Linked DNA regions of Pelodiscus sinensis. The protein of the gene in region 1 interacts with the protein of each later gene in a pairwise test. Links are inferred from orthologs where the notes say so. Each region holds a gene or a part of one and is shown on either strand. Other genes may lie near its edges. The genes, in order: CTNNA3 and PKP3.

Region 1 (8,891 bases):
ACTTGCAGAGCTCCAGGAAGTGGCCTTTCACGTATGGAAGTTCTGAAACTGCTGCTGGTCATTTTATGACTGCAGGACTATGTAGTCCCAGCAGTCTGAACTGATCTCCCTCCACCAGAAGCGGCGTCTGATGGTGTCCAGGGGTTTAGGAACATTTGCAGCAGCAGGAACACCAGGATGTGAGTGAAGGGATCCTCGTGTTTGGGCTAGATGTCATCCTGCTGGAGCAGCATGCAAACTATCTGGAAGAACTGTGCCAGGAAGTGCAGCATGAGGCCCATGAGGCAACTCTGGCTCCATGATGTCAATGCTGTGGCATCCACAAGGGCAACCAGGGCACACTGCATCAATTTGGAGTCCTGTGATGGTGGAGGCAATGTAGGAGTGGTGTGAGAGATGCGGCCATAGAGAGGAGCCCCTGAAAGCATGTGTCGCAGCTTCCCATATCAAGCAGCCACAGGAAGTGTCTGCCCTCTTGGTGCCTTCCTCAGAGTGCTTCTGGGGGATCTAAATCTGAAGAAGGCTCCAATCAGTGTGGACGCACTATTTTAAAATTATTCTGAGCTATTTCGATGTTCCCCTATAATGTGGATGCTCTATTTCAATGTTATTTCATATATTAATTTGATTTAACTTCTTTTGAAATTATTTTCTAGTGTAGACATGCCCTTAGAAATTAACAAAAGTATATATAGTATCGTGAGCTTTGGTGGGCAAAACCCACTTCTTCAGATGAGTTTGAGTTCATCTGAAGAAGTGGGTTTTGCCCACCAAAGCTCATGATGCAAAATCTTAGCAGTTTTCAGTTAGCACAGTTTTCACAGCATTGCTTACAAACTTTTGAATCCTCAGCTCTGACCCATAGACATATTCATAACATACATGAGTGGAAACATGACTGTTATGTTATTAATTGGGAGCATTCTTATGGATTAGAAACATATCAAAGAGCAAAGCATAGAGGTAATGGGGGAAATAACCCAAGATACTTTCTGATTTGTATCTCCAAAAGAATCACTTGTAACTGGGACTATCTTGCCTCTTCAACGAATAAACAACTTTTCCAGGTGAGCATTTCTACTGAGATCACAGCCCTTTGTTAATAAAAACAAAAGAACTACTCCAGCACAGTATGCCCTTTGGACACAATAGGACTGTTGGTTATAAGATACTATGATGCCAGGCTACTATAACTTGGAACTCAACTTTATTAATCTATACACTTATCCATTTCACCAGTATATTGCAACATTTCATAATACAGAACCGTAGACATGACTTTTAGGTGTTATGGAAATAGAGTATTCCTGTCTGTGGAACCAAAAAACAACCTGCATTCTTACACAATGGTATACTTTAAGCTAAGTGCTAACTTTTATGATGTCGTCTTATCAAGAATGATCAAGAACAGCTTGTCCAAACTGACATACCTTTTATAGATATATTGAACTAAGAGGCAAGTAAAAAGAAAGAAAAGCAAAAAAGTTCTGTGGCCTGAAATAAAATTCAACTATACAAATGATAATTGTTAGAGAAGTTCTGAAGTACAATTTGGATACTCTTTAATTTAAATAAAATATTGTAACAACAGAAACTGGGACCAAAAATACGCTAATCTTTCTAATATATAATCATTAGAAGTTTGATTGCTAAATCATCACAAATTATATTAAAAAGATAATGCCTCATAACTCACCTATCCCAAACACAAACCGTCCACATTCAAGAGGAAAGCAATGGTCTAAACACCAGGAAAAGTACTTAGGACTTCAGTACAACTATTATAGCTAATGGTGCATCTGCGACCTCATGGCCTGACAAGCACTCTAGTGTATTTCAGGATGACTGACAGGGTACAGTGGCTGCTAGTGGGGGCTGGGCATCCTTAAAGCTATATACAAAAGTAGAAATATTTCAAGATACAATTAAAAATGGAGCACAATTAAAAATGGAGCAGTATTCTTATTTATTTTGAAGAACTAGAGGACATGAAGTAAGTTTTTCTACAACGTCTTTAAGAAAGAGATAAATAAGAGAAAAATATCACACTGCCTCTATAACAATCCATGGTGTGCCCATATATTTAATACTGCATGCAAATGTGGTCACCTCATCTCAAAATAGATATCTTAGCACTGGAAAAAAGGTTCAGAAAAGGGCAGCAGAAATGAGAGATATGAAAATGTGCCATATGAGGAGAGATAAGACTGGAACTTTTCAGCTTGGAAAAGAGACAACTAAGGGGAGATATGATTGAGGCATATAAAATTGTGATTGGTATGGACAGGGTGACCATATTTCCCAATGCTGAATACACGACGCCTGGTAAAATTACTCCAATTCAAGTGAGTTGAATAGGAATCCATCAGAATTATACAATACAAATTTTCAAATTAACTTCAGACTGACTGCACTCCTGTTGAAAATAAAAACTGCACAGCTGGAGTCTTTTTATTTACCTTATGTTTAAGGTTTGCACAGGGAGAGATGACACACACATATTCCCTACGTCTCTCTCACATCAGGATGGGGTGACCGACCAACCTCACCCTGTTCAGTGCTCTCCACCCTCCTTGCCTGACAGTCCCTGGGATGGACTCATCTCTCCTGACATCTGGTGCTGCATCTTCTCAAGACAACATGTGGGGGAGGAGGTATGCAGGGTTACAGGAACCCTTCTCTGATTTCTGTTGGGGTTTATGGCAGAGCATGGCAAGCAGCAGCCGATCAACACTGTGCAGGAGGGAACGGATGGAAGGAGCTTCCAGCAGAATGGAGGTGGGAGTTGAGAGAGGGATGAACTGGCCCATGTTTTTCCAGAGGTCATCTCCTCCTTCCCTCTGCTCCTCAATGCCTGGAAGCAGCTTGTCCCTTCCTACCCACACAGTGTAGAAAGGCAGCTAACACCTTCAAGCTGCTGCTGGCTACTGACATAGCCCAGCTGCCTCTTGTCTTCCAGCTGCAGTACAGGCAGGAAGGGGCTAAGCCCTAAGCATGTACTAAACAGGGCCCAGGGAACCTGACGGCAGGGGCTTTAGCCAAACTGGCCGGAGAGGTGGCTCAGCAGGGAAGGGTGCCTAGGAGACAGAGCAGACTCACACTCCCTGGGGGCAGGACATAGTGCGATTGGCAACACGTGAAATCTTTAAAAGACTCATTTCCATGAGACTGCTTCAAACATCTGAGACTCACCTGCAGCCTTCAACCCAGCTCCTTCCAAACTAAGTAGCACCATGCCAGAGTCAGAACAGGCTGCGTTGCAGGTCCCCTCTGCTCAGTGTCCAAACAGATCCCAAGCTGTTCTCCCACAGCAATTGCCCTCAGCCCCCAACATTCTCAGCAAGCAGCTTCCCCTCTGGCTTCACTTTCCCCTCTTATAGGCCTCACCTGGGCCTGTGGGGTGCTGACATGCTCCAGCTAATTCCTGAATCCTCCCCTCCATGAGCCTTTGTCTAACAAGCCAGGGCCCTACAGCTGTGGGTTTCTTACTCCTGCCTCCTTCTGGACTATCTCAGGGCTCCAGATGGGTGGAGGGCTGCTGAGTGGGGCTAAAATAGTGCAAAGCAACCGGAGCAAATAGGTGAATCCTGCCCATCACTTCAATATCAAGAAAGAAATCCACTAATCTCCTGTGGCATTAAGGCAGCCAGCTTGCCTTCATCACCACTCTCCAGCCAACACTGGCTGCTGCATCCCTGGCTGTCTTTGCCTTACTCCTCTGCTTCCAGTTGTATCCACTTCCACCTCCCAAGGGTGGCATGTTGGCTACCAGGCTGGCACTGAAGCAATTAAATGAGGCAGCTCTCTGATAATGCAGGCTGGAACTCTCAGGGAAGGCTGGAGGTTCAACAACTGGGAGAAATTACAACTTCACTTCCGAAGAAATGAGATGACCCCATCCATCAGTCACTGAATTGTCAGTGTGAAAGCCTCCTTCTTAAACAATCAACCTATTCGCATCCTGGGTGGCATCAAAACTGCATGTGAGGGATGTAGTGCAAGTGTTGGGACATCCCTTGACTAGCTGAAGTTAAGCCCCATCCCAACTGGGCCAGAACAGTTCATCTGCACCACACTGTACTTTACCTACTGCTGAGGCAGCTTAAGAGAGATGCCTATTGTTTTGTGCTCCTGCTTCTATTCTGGATATTATGGTACCTCCTGGAGTGTGGAAGGGTGTGGAGTCTGACTAGGGCCTCTCTGTCTGGGAGGGAGAAGAATCCCTGGGACACTCTATGGCCACAGATGGCCAAGATCTTACATTTTATAACCCCTCTGTAAGGGCACCTGCAACAGCTCTCTGCCCTGCTACAGCCCCTCTGCTGCATTGCCTCAATGTGCTAGCTCAGAGAGACTCATCAGCATCTCGGTTTTCCCTCTGCCTGGTGCCAGCCCTGCTCAGCTTGTGGGAAATGACCAGAGCACACCCCAATGCCACAAGGCTGTGGCACAGTGCCGTGCTGTCTAGGGCTTGTGAGTGACTTTCCCCAGCAAAACATGCGGTCAAGTTGACTTTGGACCTGAATTTCCAAATGAAAAGCACAAGCACCATGGTATCTTTCCTTCCACGGCTTGTGTCCACGCATCATCAACTGCCTGCTTGCAAGATAATGATGTCTGATTTTGGAGCCAGCTGGTGCAAAAGTGTTACCATGTGGCACTAGGAGCTAAGCACTTGAGAACAATGGCTTGGATGCGGGATTTTCTTGTGGGATTCAATAGAAGGGTGGAGGGTACAAAACAGATTCATGAGGGGGAGATTTAATAGCCACAACAGCGCAGTACTGTGGGCACAAACAAGTTTTCCTGTAAGGCTGAGCTAAAGGTAAACCCCTGAAAGAGATTGGCTGATCATATACAAAGTTACTGAGCCCAAGTTCTGTTCCTCCAGGATCTCTGTCTACCTGCCCCACTTGTCCACTTTAAAGAGCTCTTAGCTCTGGCATAGACAGACCACAGGTGGTATATGGCTCATAGAAGCTCACAAAGGAGGGGGTGACCAATGGATTCCCTCTATGGATCTGTACTGGGCGGGGGGAAATACCCTAGACAGGGAAGTGAACAGGGAAGTGGCAAAGTTTGCAGATGATACAAAAAATATTCATGAATATTAAGGCCAAAGCAGACTGTAAAGAGCTAAAAAGGGATCTCACAATTCTGAGTTCCTAGGCAACAAAATGGCAACTGAAATTCAACATTGAGCCCTGGCCTACGTTCTCCTTATTTCGAAATAACAAGTGGAGCATCCACACAACCAAGCCTGTTACTTCACAATAACGGGCTGGTTATTTTGAAATAACAACTCCTGCTTTCCATGAGGAATAACAGTTATTCTGAAATAGCGTGAGTGTGGATGCTTCACTGCTGCTATTTCTAAATAATTACTCCTCAGAGTCATTCAAAGTAATTACTCCCCAGTGCTTCCTGGGGTTCTAAGTCGAGGTAGCACATCCATATTAAAGGAGGCTTCCTGGGACTAATTTCAAGAATTCCCTGTAGTGTGGACACGCTATTTCAAAATAATTCTTTTGGGAGTTATTTCAAAATAATTTCCAAGTGTAGACATGCCCAAAGAAGTGCAAAGAAATGTACTTTGGAAAAGATAATCCCATCTATATTTATATAATGATGGGTTCTAAAATAGCTTTTATGCTAGCAAAAGATGTTGGAGTCACCATGGGTAATTCTCTGAAAACTTCTACTCCTTGCGCAGCAGCATTTACAAAGGTTATCGGTATATTAAGGATTATTAGGAAAGGGATAGAAAATAAAACAGAAAATCCCATCCTGCTACTATATAAATCCATGGAATGCCTACATCCAGAGTATTCTGTCCAGTTTTGAGTGAAATGTCTAAAAAAGCAGACAGTGGGATGGAAAAAGATTCAGAGAAGGTGCTAAGGGTCTAAAGAAGTTCTCAAAAATTAACTTTTTTAATTATTGTTATTTGTGAAGTGGAAGAAAGCATTAAATCACTGCTTGTAACATGTGCAGGTGACAAAATGCAAGCAGCGTGGTAAATAAGGCTGGAGCCAGGGCAGTGACATAGAACGATCTGGATCCCTTAGGAAGCTGGACCCATGTGAACAGAACAGGTTTTCACAGAGCCAAATGCAAGGCCCTACCTCAGTCCCAAAGCATGCAGGCCACACCCCTGGAATGAGGGACACAAGCAGTGTCTCTGAGGAGGATGTAGGGGTCCTGTTAGGCAAGTTGCTCAATAGAAGCTTCTAAAGCGATGCTGTGGTCAATACGGCTAAAGGCAGCATTAGACATATGAGCAGATGAGGGAGTAGGGCAGATAGGTGACACTGCATCCGTGAGACTGAGTCTTTGTCTATACTTCAATGATCTATCAGAAAAAGGTACGCAAAATACACTCCGCAATTTTTTTTTTGGCGAACGGGAGCAGCAAACAGGGAGTTTTGAGAGGGAGTTCTCCAGGTAAAGGAGGAGCAAGTACGGGACCCTTGAGGTAAGTGGCTGTCTGTAGAGTGTGTTTGTGTGTTTGGGGGTTACTTACTGTGTGCTGAGCTTGTGTTTGTCTGTTTATTGTGTTTGCTTGTTTGTTTGAAGGAGCGTGTGCTGTGGCTGGCAGTTGGAAGCTGTGAGCTTCTAAAGGTTTGAAATCTAGGGACAGGTAGGCAGGCAGAGCTTCAGCATCTCAATGAGTGGATGAGACAATGGTGTAGGGAGGTGGGGTTAGCTTTATAAGAAACTGGGGAAACTTTTGGGATGGAGGGAGCCTATACAGGAAGGATGGGCTCCACCTAAACCATAGTGGATCCAGACTGCTGGCACATAACATTAAAAAGGTCACAGAGCAGTTTTTAAACTAAGAGATGGGGGAAAGCTGATTGTTGCAGAGGAGCACGTGGATCGGACAGAGATGTCTCTTAGAGGAGAGCCTATTGAAAGAGATTCTCTAGGTTTTAGTCAGGAGGAGAGGATGGAAGAGGATAAAGTATTGGCCAGATCAGATGAAAAGCATTCACATAAAAAAGAATCTGACACATCAGAAAAGGGCAGACAAATAAACAGTGACAAGTTTTTAAAGTGCTTGTACACAAATGCTAGAAGTCTAGAGTGCCTCGTTTTAAAGGAGGATACTGATATAATAGGCATCACAGAAACCTGGTGGAGTGAGGACAATCAATAGGGCACATTCATTCCAGGGTACAAAATATATCGGAAGGTCATGCGGGTGAGGGAGTGGCACTATATGTGAAAGAAAATTTAGAATCAACTGAAGTCAAAATCTTAAATGAATCAACATGTTCCATAGAATTGCTATGGATAGTAATTCCCTGCTCTAATAAGAATATAACAGTAGGGATCTATTACTGACCACCTGACCAGGACAGTAATAGTGACTATGAAATGCTAAGGGAGATTAGAGAGGCTATCAAAATAAAAAACTCAATAATAGTGGGGGATTTCAACTGTCCCCATATTGACTAGGTATACGTCACCTCAGGATAAGATGAAAAGATAAAATTTCTTGATACCTTAAATGACTGCTTCTTGGAGCAGCTGGTATAGGAACCCACAAGGGGAGAGGCAATTCTCGATTTAGTCCTGAGTGGTGTGCAGGATCTGGTACAAGACGTAACTATAACAGGACCGCTTGGAAATAGTGATCATAATATAATAACATTTAACATTCCTGTGGTGGGAAGAACACCTTAGCAGCCCAACACTGTGGCATTTAATTTCAAAAAGGGGAACTATGCAAAAATGAGAAGGTTAATTAAACAGAAATTAAAAGGTACAGTGACTAAAGTAAAATCCCTGCATGGACACTTTTCAAAGACACCATAATAGAGGTGTCTATTAAATGTATACCCCCAACTTAAATGTATACCCCAAATTAAAAAACATAGTAGAAGAATTAAGAAGAGCCACTGTGGCTTAACAACCATGTACGAGAAGCAGTGAGAGATAAAAAGGCATCTTTTAAAAAGTGGAAGTCAAATCCTAGGGAGGTAAATAGAAAGGAACATAAACACTGCCAAATTAAGTGTAAAAATGTAATAAGAAAAGCCAAAACCTCAATAATAACAAAATGTTTTTTATGTACATCAGAAGCAGGAAGCCTGCTAAACAACCAGTGGGGCCCCTGGACAATTGAGATACAAAAGGAGCACGTAAATATGATAACGCCATTGCAGAGAAACTAAATGAATTCTTTGCTTTAGCCTTCATGGCTGAGGATGTTCGGGAGATTCCCAGACCTGACCCATCCTTTGTAGGTGACAAATCTGAGGACTTGTCCCAGATTGAAGCGTCATTAGAGGAGGTTTTGGAATTAATTGATATACTTAACAATAACAAGTCACTGGTACCAGATGGCATTCACCCAAGAGTTCTGAAAGAACTCAAATGTGAAATTGCAGAACTATTAACTATGGTTTGTAACCTATCCTTTAAATCAGCTTCTGTACCCAACAACTGGAAGATTGCTAATGTAACGCAAATATTTAAAAAGGGCTCTAGAGGCGATCCTGGCAATTACAGACCGGTAAGTCTAATGTCAGTACCGGGCAAATTAGTTGAAACAATAGGAAAGAATAAAAGTGTCAGACACATAGAAGAACATTAATTTGGTGGACAAAAGTCAACATAGTTTCTGTAAAGGGAAATCATGTTTTACTAATCTATTAGAGTTCTTTGAAGGGGTCAACAAACATGTGGACAAGGGGGATCCAGTAGATATAGTGTACTTAGATTTCCAGAAAGCCTTTGACAAGGTCCCTCACCAAAGGCTCTTACATAAATTAAGTTGTCATGGGATAAGAGGGAAGATCCATTCATGGACTGAGAACTGGTTAAAAGACAGGAAACAAGGGGTAGGAATAAATGGTAAATTTTCAGAATGGAGAGGGGTAACT
Region 2 (8,715 bases), on another chromosome or scaffold:
AAAAAGGAAAATTCCAAGAAAACTGGAATAATTTTGTAAACATATATTTTAAAGGCCATTGTATCTGTACTTTCAAATTGCTATTTAAAAAATTACAACAGCTCTATTTTAAGGGAGGTTGCTACCAAGGAGTTAATTAAGCACAGGCTAGACACCCAACTATTAGGGACCAGATGGCTTCCTCATAGAACCACAGTCACAAGAACCAAGGGAACTGGGCGGGACAGTGACTTCCTTGATCTAACAAAGGCTAATGATGGGATGTCACTGGGGACCCAGCCCTCTCCTGTCCCTGGGGAATAAATGGTGCCAGGAAGGCCTGTAATGATCCCATGAGAAAGCAGTCGATGTCACAAAGATGACAGGGCAGGAAATGTCAGGAGAGAAGGTGTAATTGGCCAGAGAGGGGGAAGCCCCTTTTGCCTCTTTCCAAGTCCACTCAGAAGTCAGTGGCTTGGACAGTTGAGTTGGAAGGGGAGCATTAGTGCTGCTACCTAGGAGCCCCTGAGGAGAAAGAGGGAAAGAGAAAGGTCTGGTGCGTGGACCTTGCAATGATGAGAGTGGATACCGGAGGGTCTTTGAGCGTCTCCTACAGGCGGGTGAGTATCATTATCCCTATGACAAGCCAACTGGGCACTTCATGAGCAGTACTGACTCCAAGGAGGCTGCTCTGCTTTGCACCAGCTGAGGAGCTGGCCCCACGTAAGTCTCCAGAGGGGGTTAGGTAGTGGGGAAAAGAGGTTTCCAGCTCAGCCTCGCTCGGACATCCCAAGTGCAGCATCTGGAGGGGCTGCGAAGCCTGCAGCTCAGGTTGGCTCCTTGCTTTCCGGCTCGTCAGCAGGGAGAAGTCTGCCCGGCATTTGCAAGAGACGTGGGGGTTTGCACAGAAGATTCCAGAATCATTCACCCGCTGGCGGCTTATGAAACCCTCCTGCCATTGACTCACTGTTGGGCCTTTGCCAGCCCGTTGCAGCCCCGAGCGACAGGCTAAGTGCAGGGCGCACAGAGACAGCGCTACCTGGCTGTGGCTTTCCTCGCATTCGACTGTAGCAGGAGGGAGGGTGCCAGACTGGCAGCCCGATTTCACTCTAGGCCAGGTTCAGGCCGGGGCAGCGTGGGAAGGAGTCCAGGCTTGTTCTGACAGGAGGGGTGTGTTCTAGGAGGAGGCTCAGAACGCCAGCCCCTGGACGGCGATCACCTCACACAAGCTAGCGAAGACCCGGCCGGCAGCAAACTCATTCTTTGTGCCCCGGCTGAGCTGGCCTCGAACCACAGGCCCGGTGGCGACAGGCCCTGCAGCCCAGCATTCCCCTGTGAATCTGGAGCCCTGGCCATAAGCTTGGCCTTCCTCCGCAGGGCGCCTTGGCCTTTGGCCCCCTGGCTTAGCAAGGAGGGGCAGTGCGAGGCGAGGGAGCCAGGGCATCAGCCACAGACTGTTGGTTCCGGTTGCCATTTCGGACTCAGAACCTACTTGCCAGGTGCCTGGGAATCTGGCCCTGGAGCAAAAGCCCAGTTGCTGTTGGTAGCAAGTGTTGACAGGCCGGTGGCCCCTGCCTGTTGTGCTGGGTGTGCACACGTACAGGGGGCTACCAGCCCATCCCCGGGGGTGATGGAGGCCTGGGGAACGGGCAAGGTGAAAACCAAACCCAAGGGAGGGATTTTGGTGAATTCCTGCCACTGCCAAACACCCCCGAGTCCCAAAGGTGTTTGTGCTGTGGAGTTGGCTACACTGGCCCGGCTTGGCCTCGGTTTCAGGTTTGGCAGTCGTGGGTGGTGGGCTAAACTCTTACGGCTGTGTGCCCGCACCGGTTCAGCAGCAAGCCCAGCCCGAGCCTGGAGACCTTCGGTTCAAGCTGTCAGGGGCCTGGCTGGAGCCACGGCTCTCGGAGAAGCTGCTGAGCACAGCAAGGCCCAGTCTGCACCCGTAGGGACGGCAGCTGTCCCACTTCTGGCACCTGCTCTCGGCATGAAGAACCATTTCCAGGATAGGCCAAGCCCTGGCTGCACTCCTGCCCACGAGCGCCGGGGGAGCTCCCTTGAGCTCTGTCCTGCCCCTTCCTCTGCCCCACCCCTTCCTCTGCACAGGCCATCTCTGCCCTGGCGGGACAGTGGGGCAGTCTCCCAGGCTGCATGCATCTAAACTATTGCCTCCCGAATGCCACTCAGGGGGCCCCTGTTGCGGGGGGCGTTGGCTTATCCTTTGGGTCTCTGCCACCAGAGACGGGCCGTTCAGAGTGACTAATGTGAGCGTCACTTCCAAGCCGGCCCTTTGGGCGGCGCGCCACAGGTTGGGCTTCTTTCAAAGGTGGCTTCTCTTGAGTTGCACAACACACCCTGGTCCAGCCCCTCCACCCTGGGGACGCCATCACTGACATTCCCTCGCAGCCGGGTGTCATGTTCTCTTGCCCAGAAAGCGGGTGCCGCGGCACATTCTTCTGATCTTAGGGCCATCACCAGGATTCTCTTGCAATGGGCAGCCCATCCACAGGCAGACTGGGAAAGCCTTCAGCCTCCCAGGCCCTGGGCGATTCCTGACATCTCCTCCTCCCGCCGCAGCATAGCAGGGTGCAGCACGCACCTGCCGTCCATGCGGCGTTCCAGCATCATCACTTCTGCTGAGAGGCACCACCCTGTCGTAGGCTGGGCCATCACTGCAGCCTCTAAGCACTTCCCAGAGAACAGCTGTCCTCTTGGTCACCAGCAGGAGCAGGGAACATGGGCAGCTCGGGTGACACCCGGCAGATTGTCTCTACGTAGCCAGACCTGTGGGGGAGCGTCCGGCCCGTCTGCCTGGCCACTTCCCAGCTCACTTCCCCCTCCATTCCCAGGTGCCAGCCACCGGCCCCCTCTCTCTGTGTGAGCACGAGGCGGGAGAAATGCTCCTGGGTTTATTGCCCTGTCGTATTGGGCACCCCAAGCACTTGGGTGCAGCAGGGGCTGCTCTCAAGACATGCTCCTCCGTCTCTTGCACAGTGGGCTTGGCGAAGGCTGGGTTGCCCCAGAAGACCAGGCCTGAGCAGTTCAGAGGGCTGGCTGCCCATGGCTCCGACCGGCTTGGCGTGTGGAAACCCCAGCTTTCCGTGAAGGGGTCTGCACATGGCTCCCAGTGAATCCCGGGCCTGCAAACAGGCTCCTCTGACTACTGGAAGCCTGAGTGCTTAGGGGACCGTCGCATACGAGGTTCTTCCAACCCCAGCACAGGCCCCTTCCCGTTGCAGCTGCCTTCCCAGGTTGCGCACGAGCTGGTCTTTGTGTGGGCTGCAGGACAGCTGGAGCCGTGTGCACCATGGAAAGCACGTGGGGCTCGGTCTCCCTGCTGCGAAAGGGGCACCGGGCCTGCTCCTAGAGCCAGGGAGTGCTGTGGGGGCGCCGGGCTCGGGCCCTCACTGGGCAGCTTTACGTCCTCCCTGTCTCTCAGCTGATGTGGCTTTTCAGTTAAGGCTGCTGCTTGCTAGATCCTCCAGCCCCAGGCCCATGACAGATACAAGCTGACTTCTGGGCATCAACGCCACCCCCGAGGATCCCGCAGGGACCGACGAACTTATCTACACGCCTCCTTCTGCAAAGCCCAGCTATCCCACTGACTTCATCCCTACCACTGGCTGGAGAAAGGTAGCACCTCCCTGCCTCCCCGGTTCTCTGCCCCAGGCTTGGAGCAAAGCTCTTGGGAGGTTCATGGACACTCAGTTCTCTCCCCCGGTAGCTCTGACGCTCTTGGGTCTGAACCTCTAAGGTGGGGAAACTCTCTGAGAGGAGCTTTCTAGTGCGTCCGGCTGGGAACCCCCCTCGCATCTTCCATCCAGGCCTCTCGCCGCACGCCCAGGGGATGCTCTATGGCTGGCCAGCTGCCCTGGGGGGATTCCCAGCTGGACGCACTGGAAAGTTCCCCTCAGAGAGTTTCCCCGCCTCCAAGGTTCAGACCCAAGAGCGCCGGAGCCTTTTCGGGCTACCGAGGCCTTCGCGCCCTGTCTCCCTCTTCCTGCCTCCCTGCCTAGGCTGTGTGAAGTTTGAGCTCCTCCTGCCCTTCTAAGCTCTCTGTGCCCCCGCCCTGCCCGTGTCTGAGCCCTCCATGGTCCCTGGGCTCCACCCAAGCCTCCCTCCTGGCAGCCATCCCCCTTGCCCACTCCCGACAGCGCAGCTCCGCCCTCACCGCCCCGTCCAGTCAGAAAGGCCACCCAAGCAACTCAGGCTGGGCCCCGGGTGTCTACCCACGCAAAGCCCACCCTGTGCGCCTCTGTTTATCTTACCCTGCCGGCCTGCGCCCCAGGCTGCTGGCCCTCCCAGCTTGTTTGGCCCAGCTGCCCATTTACACAGAACCTACACAGGTGCCCTGTCAGCCTGCTGTATTAATAATGGGCCTAAGCTGCCCAAGAGGGAAGTGAGGGAGAGAAAGGGGAAAGGAGGCCTGGGAATGGGACCGAGATGCGTAGGCCAGGAGGGCCAATGGAGCGGAGTGTGAGAGGGGACTGATGGCCGGGGCTTGCCTCTTGTAAAGCGCCCAGGGCCATCGCCTGAAGCAATGTCCCAGCCTCCTCACAGATTCCTCTGTGGATGCCCAGCCCACGTGCCCGCACGTGTGAGTGTATCCAGGGCGGGCTGGGATGGCAGCTCCATGCAGGCCTTGCTCTCCTCCTGCGAAGCTCTGAGAGAGGCCTGCCGCCTCCCCAGCCCGTGCCAAGGTGCTCGCCGCGCAGCCAGCGCCCCTCGCAGCTACGTAAGCCGGGCTCCACCAAACCCCGGAGCGCACAAACTTGTCTGTGAGGCGATGATGCATTTTCCACCACACGCACGCAACAAAGGCACCGCAACCGGTTGGATCAGCTCAGCGGGTGTCGCCCACTCCCAGCCCAGTGTGCCAGTCGGCAGCCACAGCGACGGCACAGTTAGTTCGGTTGGCCCATCCGGCGGCGGAGGGGGAGATCTGCCTGGGACCACGGGGGGCGCTGGGCTCCGTCCGTCATCAGGAGAATGCTGCAGGGCACCCTGGGCTCCAGGCCGCTGGGCACCGTACGTCTCCGCCTTTTTTCTTTCTCTCTCTCTTGGCTCCCCCACTTCCTAAGGCTGCAGGATTTTCCAGCTCCAAGTCACTTGGATGCTGGGCTGCTGTGAGCCCCGTCTCCAAGGGAGTCTGCTCCTGTGCTTTGTGCTGGCTCCTGCGCTTCCCCTGGGGTGAGGTGGCCAGCTGGGGGGCGTGGGAGTCGGGGGTGCCACAGCCGGGGCAGGGACTTGAGGAGTGGGACTTGTGGTGGCCGTGTGCTGGCCTTGAGGCACTCGGGCCAGGCAGCGGATGCTTGGACCAGGCAGAAGAAAGGGTCAGAGCCCCACAGTGCTCCTGCTGTGGGTTTGCGAATGGCACAGAAGTGCCGGGGGTGGGGGAGAGGTGATAGCAGCTGACTCCCTAGGGCAAGGGCTAGTTGCACCTCCTGGGCCAGCGCCCAGGGATGCTTGTGGGGCTTTGACAGAGCAGGTCACAAGGGAGACAAGGCCCTGAGCGCCCAGTAACTTCCCAGCTCTGTGAAGGGCCAGTTGCTCCCCTCTCCGAGCATTGACTGTGCTGAGCCACCCCAGTGACTCTATCAGCCCTACTCGGGTGGGGGCTGCATAGCAAGGGCGGGGCCCGAGGTGGCTACCTCAGCTTGTGGGGCTGAGGGGACAGACCTCTCCGCTGGGAGCCACACGAGCTGGTTCCTGCACCTCAGCTGGGTACCCCTGGGCCTGTCACATCACTGCTCCCTGCCTCCGTTTCCACACTAGGCCTAGCGGTGCCGAGGCCAGAGCTCTGCTAGCTGTGCGGCCGCCACTGGGGGAAGAGGCAGGGCGGTGGGCAGAGATTGTGAAGCAGTTTGGGGGCTTCCCTGGCAGGAGCTGCAGGAGCCCTTTTGGCGCCTGGCTGCTCGTAGCTCGTGGCGGGTGCAGGTGACGCCTCCCCTCTGCACCCAACACCGCTGAGGAAAGGCGAAGCTGCAGTGGTCCCTGGCCGGAGTTCGAGCCGTGGGGCAGAAGTGGGGAGCACCAAGGGTGCAGCAGGTGGAGAAGGGAGGGAGAGGGAGTGTGGGCAAGTGAGCAAGCAGAAGGGGGACTAATGCGGGAGTCACTCTAGGCAGAGATGTGGCCAGACTGTTCTCCTGGCTCAGCACCGCTCAGTGGGGACAGTGGCCGGGCAGGCGGGGGCGGAGGGAGTGTGGGTTGGCTTTCAGTGCATCCCGGAGCTGTGCTCTGCCCCATGGTGGTGTGGGGGGGGGGTCATTCAGCTGTCCCTGACTAGACACTCTACCCACTCCCCAGCAGTTGCAGGCTCCTCCTCAGTGCAAAATGCCCTGCCTGGCAGCCCCACTGCACATACAGAGTCGGGCCCTCAGCCTCATGGAGGTCATAAGAATGGGTACGCGGGGTCAGAGCCATGGTCCGGCTAGCCCTGTCCTGTCTCCCGGTGCCAGGTGCTTCCAAGGGGGCAAACAGAACTGAGCAATTATCAAGTGCTCCATCCCCTGCCGTCCAGTCCCAGCCGCCGGCAGTCAGAGATTTAGGGGCATCTGGAGCAAAGTGTGGCATCCGTGACCATGCTGCTTAATCGTCAGTATAGACCTATCCTCTGTGAACATATCTCATTCTTTTGGAACCCCGTTCTACTTTTGGCTGTCACAACACCCATGGCAATCAGTTCTACGGGTCGTCTGTGCGTAGGATGAAGAAATACTCCCTTGACTTTGTTGTAAACCTGCTGCCTTTGAACTCATTGGGTGACCCCTGGTTCTTGTCTTATGTGAAGGGATAAATAATGCGTCTTTGTTCGCTTTCTCCACACCGGTCATGACTTTATAGACCTCTCACATATCCGTCCTTAGCCATCTCTTTTCTAAGCTAAACAGTCCCAGTCTCCTTAATCTCTCTTCATATGGAAGCTGTTCCAGACCCCTAATCATTATTTTTGTCCTTCTCTGTGTTGTTTCCAAGATCTTTTTGGAGGTGGGGTGACCAGAAACACACGCAGTGTTCAAGGTGTGAGTGTACCATGGATTGATACGGTGGCTTTTTCATACTTTTGTCTTACCATTCCCTTCCCTAACGGCTCCTAACATTTGGGTCGGTTTTTTTTCACTGCTGCGGCACATTGAGCAGACGTTTTCAGAGAACTATTCACAACGACTCCTGGATCATTCTTGAGTGACAACAGTGACTTTAGACCCCACCATTTTCTATGTGTCGTGGGGATTATGGTTTCTGTTGTGCATCGCTCTGCACTGATTAAGATTGAAAGTGATCTGCCATTTTCTTGCCCAGTCATGTGAATCTCCTTTGTAACTCTTCCTAGTCAGCTTTGGAATGAACTATCTCAGTAACTTTGTGTCTGCAAATTTTGCCACCTCACTGTTCACCCCTTTTTCAGATCACGTATGAATATGTCAAACAGCTCTAGCCCCAGGACAGATCCTGGGGGGACTCTGATATTTATCTCTCTCTACTATGAAAACGGACCATTTATTCCTACTCTTTCTTTCCTGTCTTTTAACCAGTTACTGATCCATGAAAGGACCTTCCCTCTTATCCCATGACTGAATTTGCTTAAGCACCTTTGGTGAGGGACCTTGACAAAGACTTTCTGAAAGTCCAAGTACACTAGAAACACTGGATCTTCCTTGTCCACATGTTTGTTGACACTCTCAAAGCATCCTAATAGATCGGTGAGGCGTGCCTCCCTTTCTAAAAGCCGTGTAGACTCTTCCTCAACAAATGTGTTCATCTCTGTGTCTGACAATTCTGTTCTTTACTCTAGTTTACAACCATTTGCTTGGTACTGAAGTTAGCTTTACCAACTTGCAATTGCAAGGATCCCCTCTGAACTTAAAAAATAAATGGTGCTACATTAGCAACCCTCCAGCCATCTGGAGCAGAAGCTGATTTAAGCATTAGGTCACTTACCACAGTAAGTAGTTCTGCAATTCCACAACTGAGTTCCTTCAGAACTCTTAGGTGAATGCCACATGGTTCTGGTGTCCTGATACTGTTTAATTTCTCAGTTTGTTCCAAAATCTGTTTTATTGTCACCTCAGTCTAGGACAGTTCCTCAGTTCAGTCTCCTCAGTTCAGTCTGCCCAACATCTGCAGTGAAGATGGATGCAAATAATTCATTTTGTTCCTCCTTAACGGCCTTATCACCTTGACTGTCCAGTGCCCCACCTGCCAATTTGGCAGCCTTCCTGCTTCTCATGTCCTTAAACTTGTCTTGCTCTTAGTATTTGTGTCTTTAGCTAGTTGCATTTCAAATTTGTTCTCAACCTGCCTTGTTATACCTTTACAGCTGCATTTTTCTGACATCTATTTTCCTCACTGCAATTTGACTTCCAATTTTCAAGGGTGCCTTTTTCAATCTAAGGACCTCTTTTACTCAGCTGTTTGATTCTGGTGCCATTTGGGGGAGAGGGCAGGTAATACACTTTGTTGCAGCCTCTTTTACGGTTTTTCAATGGTTTCCGTGCAGCTAGTCAGCATTTCACCCTGGTGATTGTTCCTTTAATGTCTGTGTAACTAGCCTCCTCATTTGTAGTACCGCCTCTTTTTGAAGTTAAATGCTATTTTGGGGTTCAGCCCCAGCTTTGGATCTGGCCCGTGGTCAGGTACCCGGGATGGGAGCCGATCTCCTCCAGGCCTGTGGCCTCTTCTGGGGTCCTCACCTCAGTACCAAGATCCCTACATTCTCCAAGGAGAAATTCTTCT

What was found.
Region 2: the proteins of CTNNA3 (region 1) and PKP3 interact in a two-hybrid assay, tested with the Homo sapiens proteins (2 studies listed by IntAct). The link is inferred for Pelodiscus sinensis from reciprocal best matches to the Homo sapiens genes CTNNA3 and PKP3.

Annotation. Positions count from the first base shown.
Region 1 is NC_134718.1:27,638,616-27,647,506, forward strand, and holds the start of CTNNA3 (catenin alpha-3), read right to left. Parts: upstream 3,335-8,891; 5' UTR 3,236-3,334; coding exon 3,193-3,235; intron 1,749-3,192; exon of another isoform or gene 1,697-1,748; intron 1-1,696. UniProt on the Homo sapiens protein: May be involved in formation of stretch-resistant cell-cell adhesion complexes.
Region 2 is NC_134714.1:123,835,993-123,844,707, reverse strand, and holds the start of PKP3 (plakophilin-3), read left to right. Parts: upstream 1-4,847; 5' UTR 4,848-4,968; coding exon 4,969-5,007; intron 5,008-8,715. UniProt on the Homo sapiens protein: A component of desmosome cell-cell junctions which are required for positive regulation of cellular adhesion. Required for the localization of DSG2, DSP and PKP2 to mature desmosome junctions.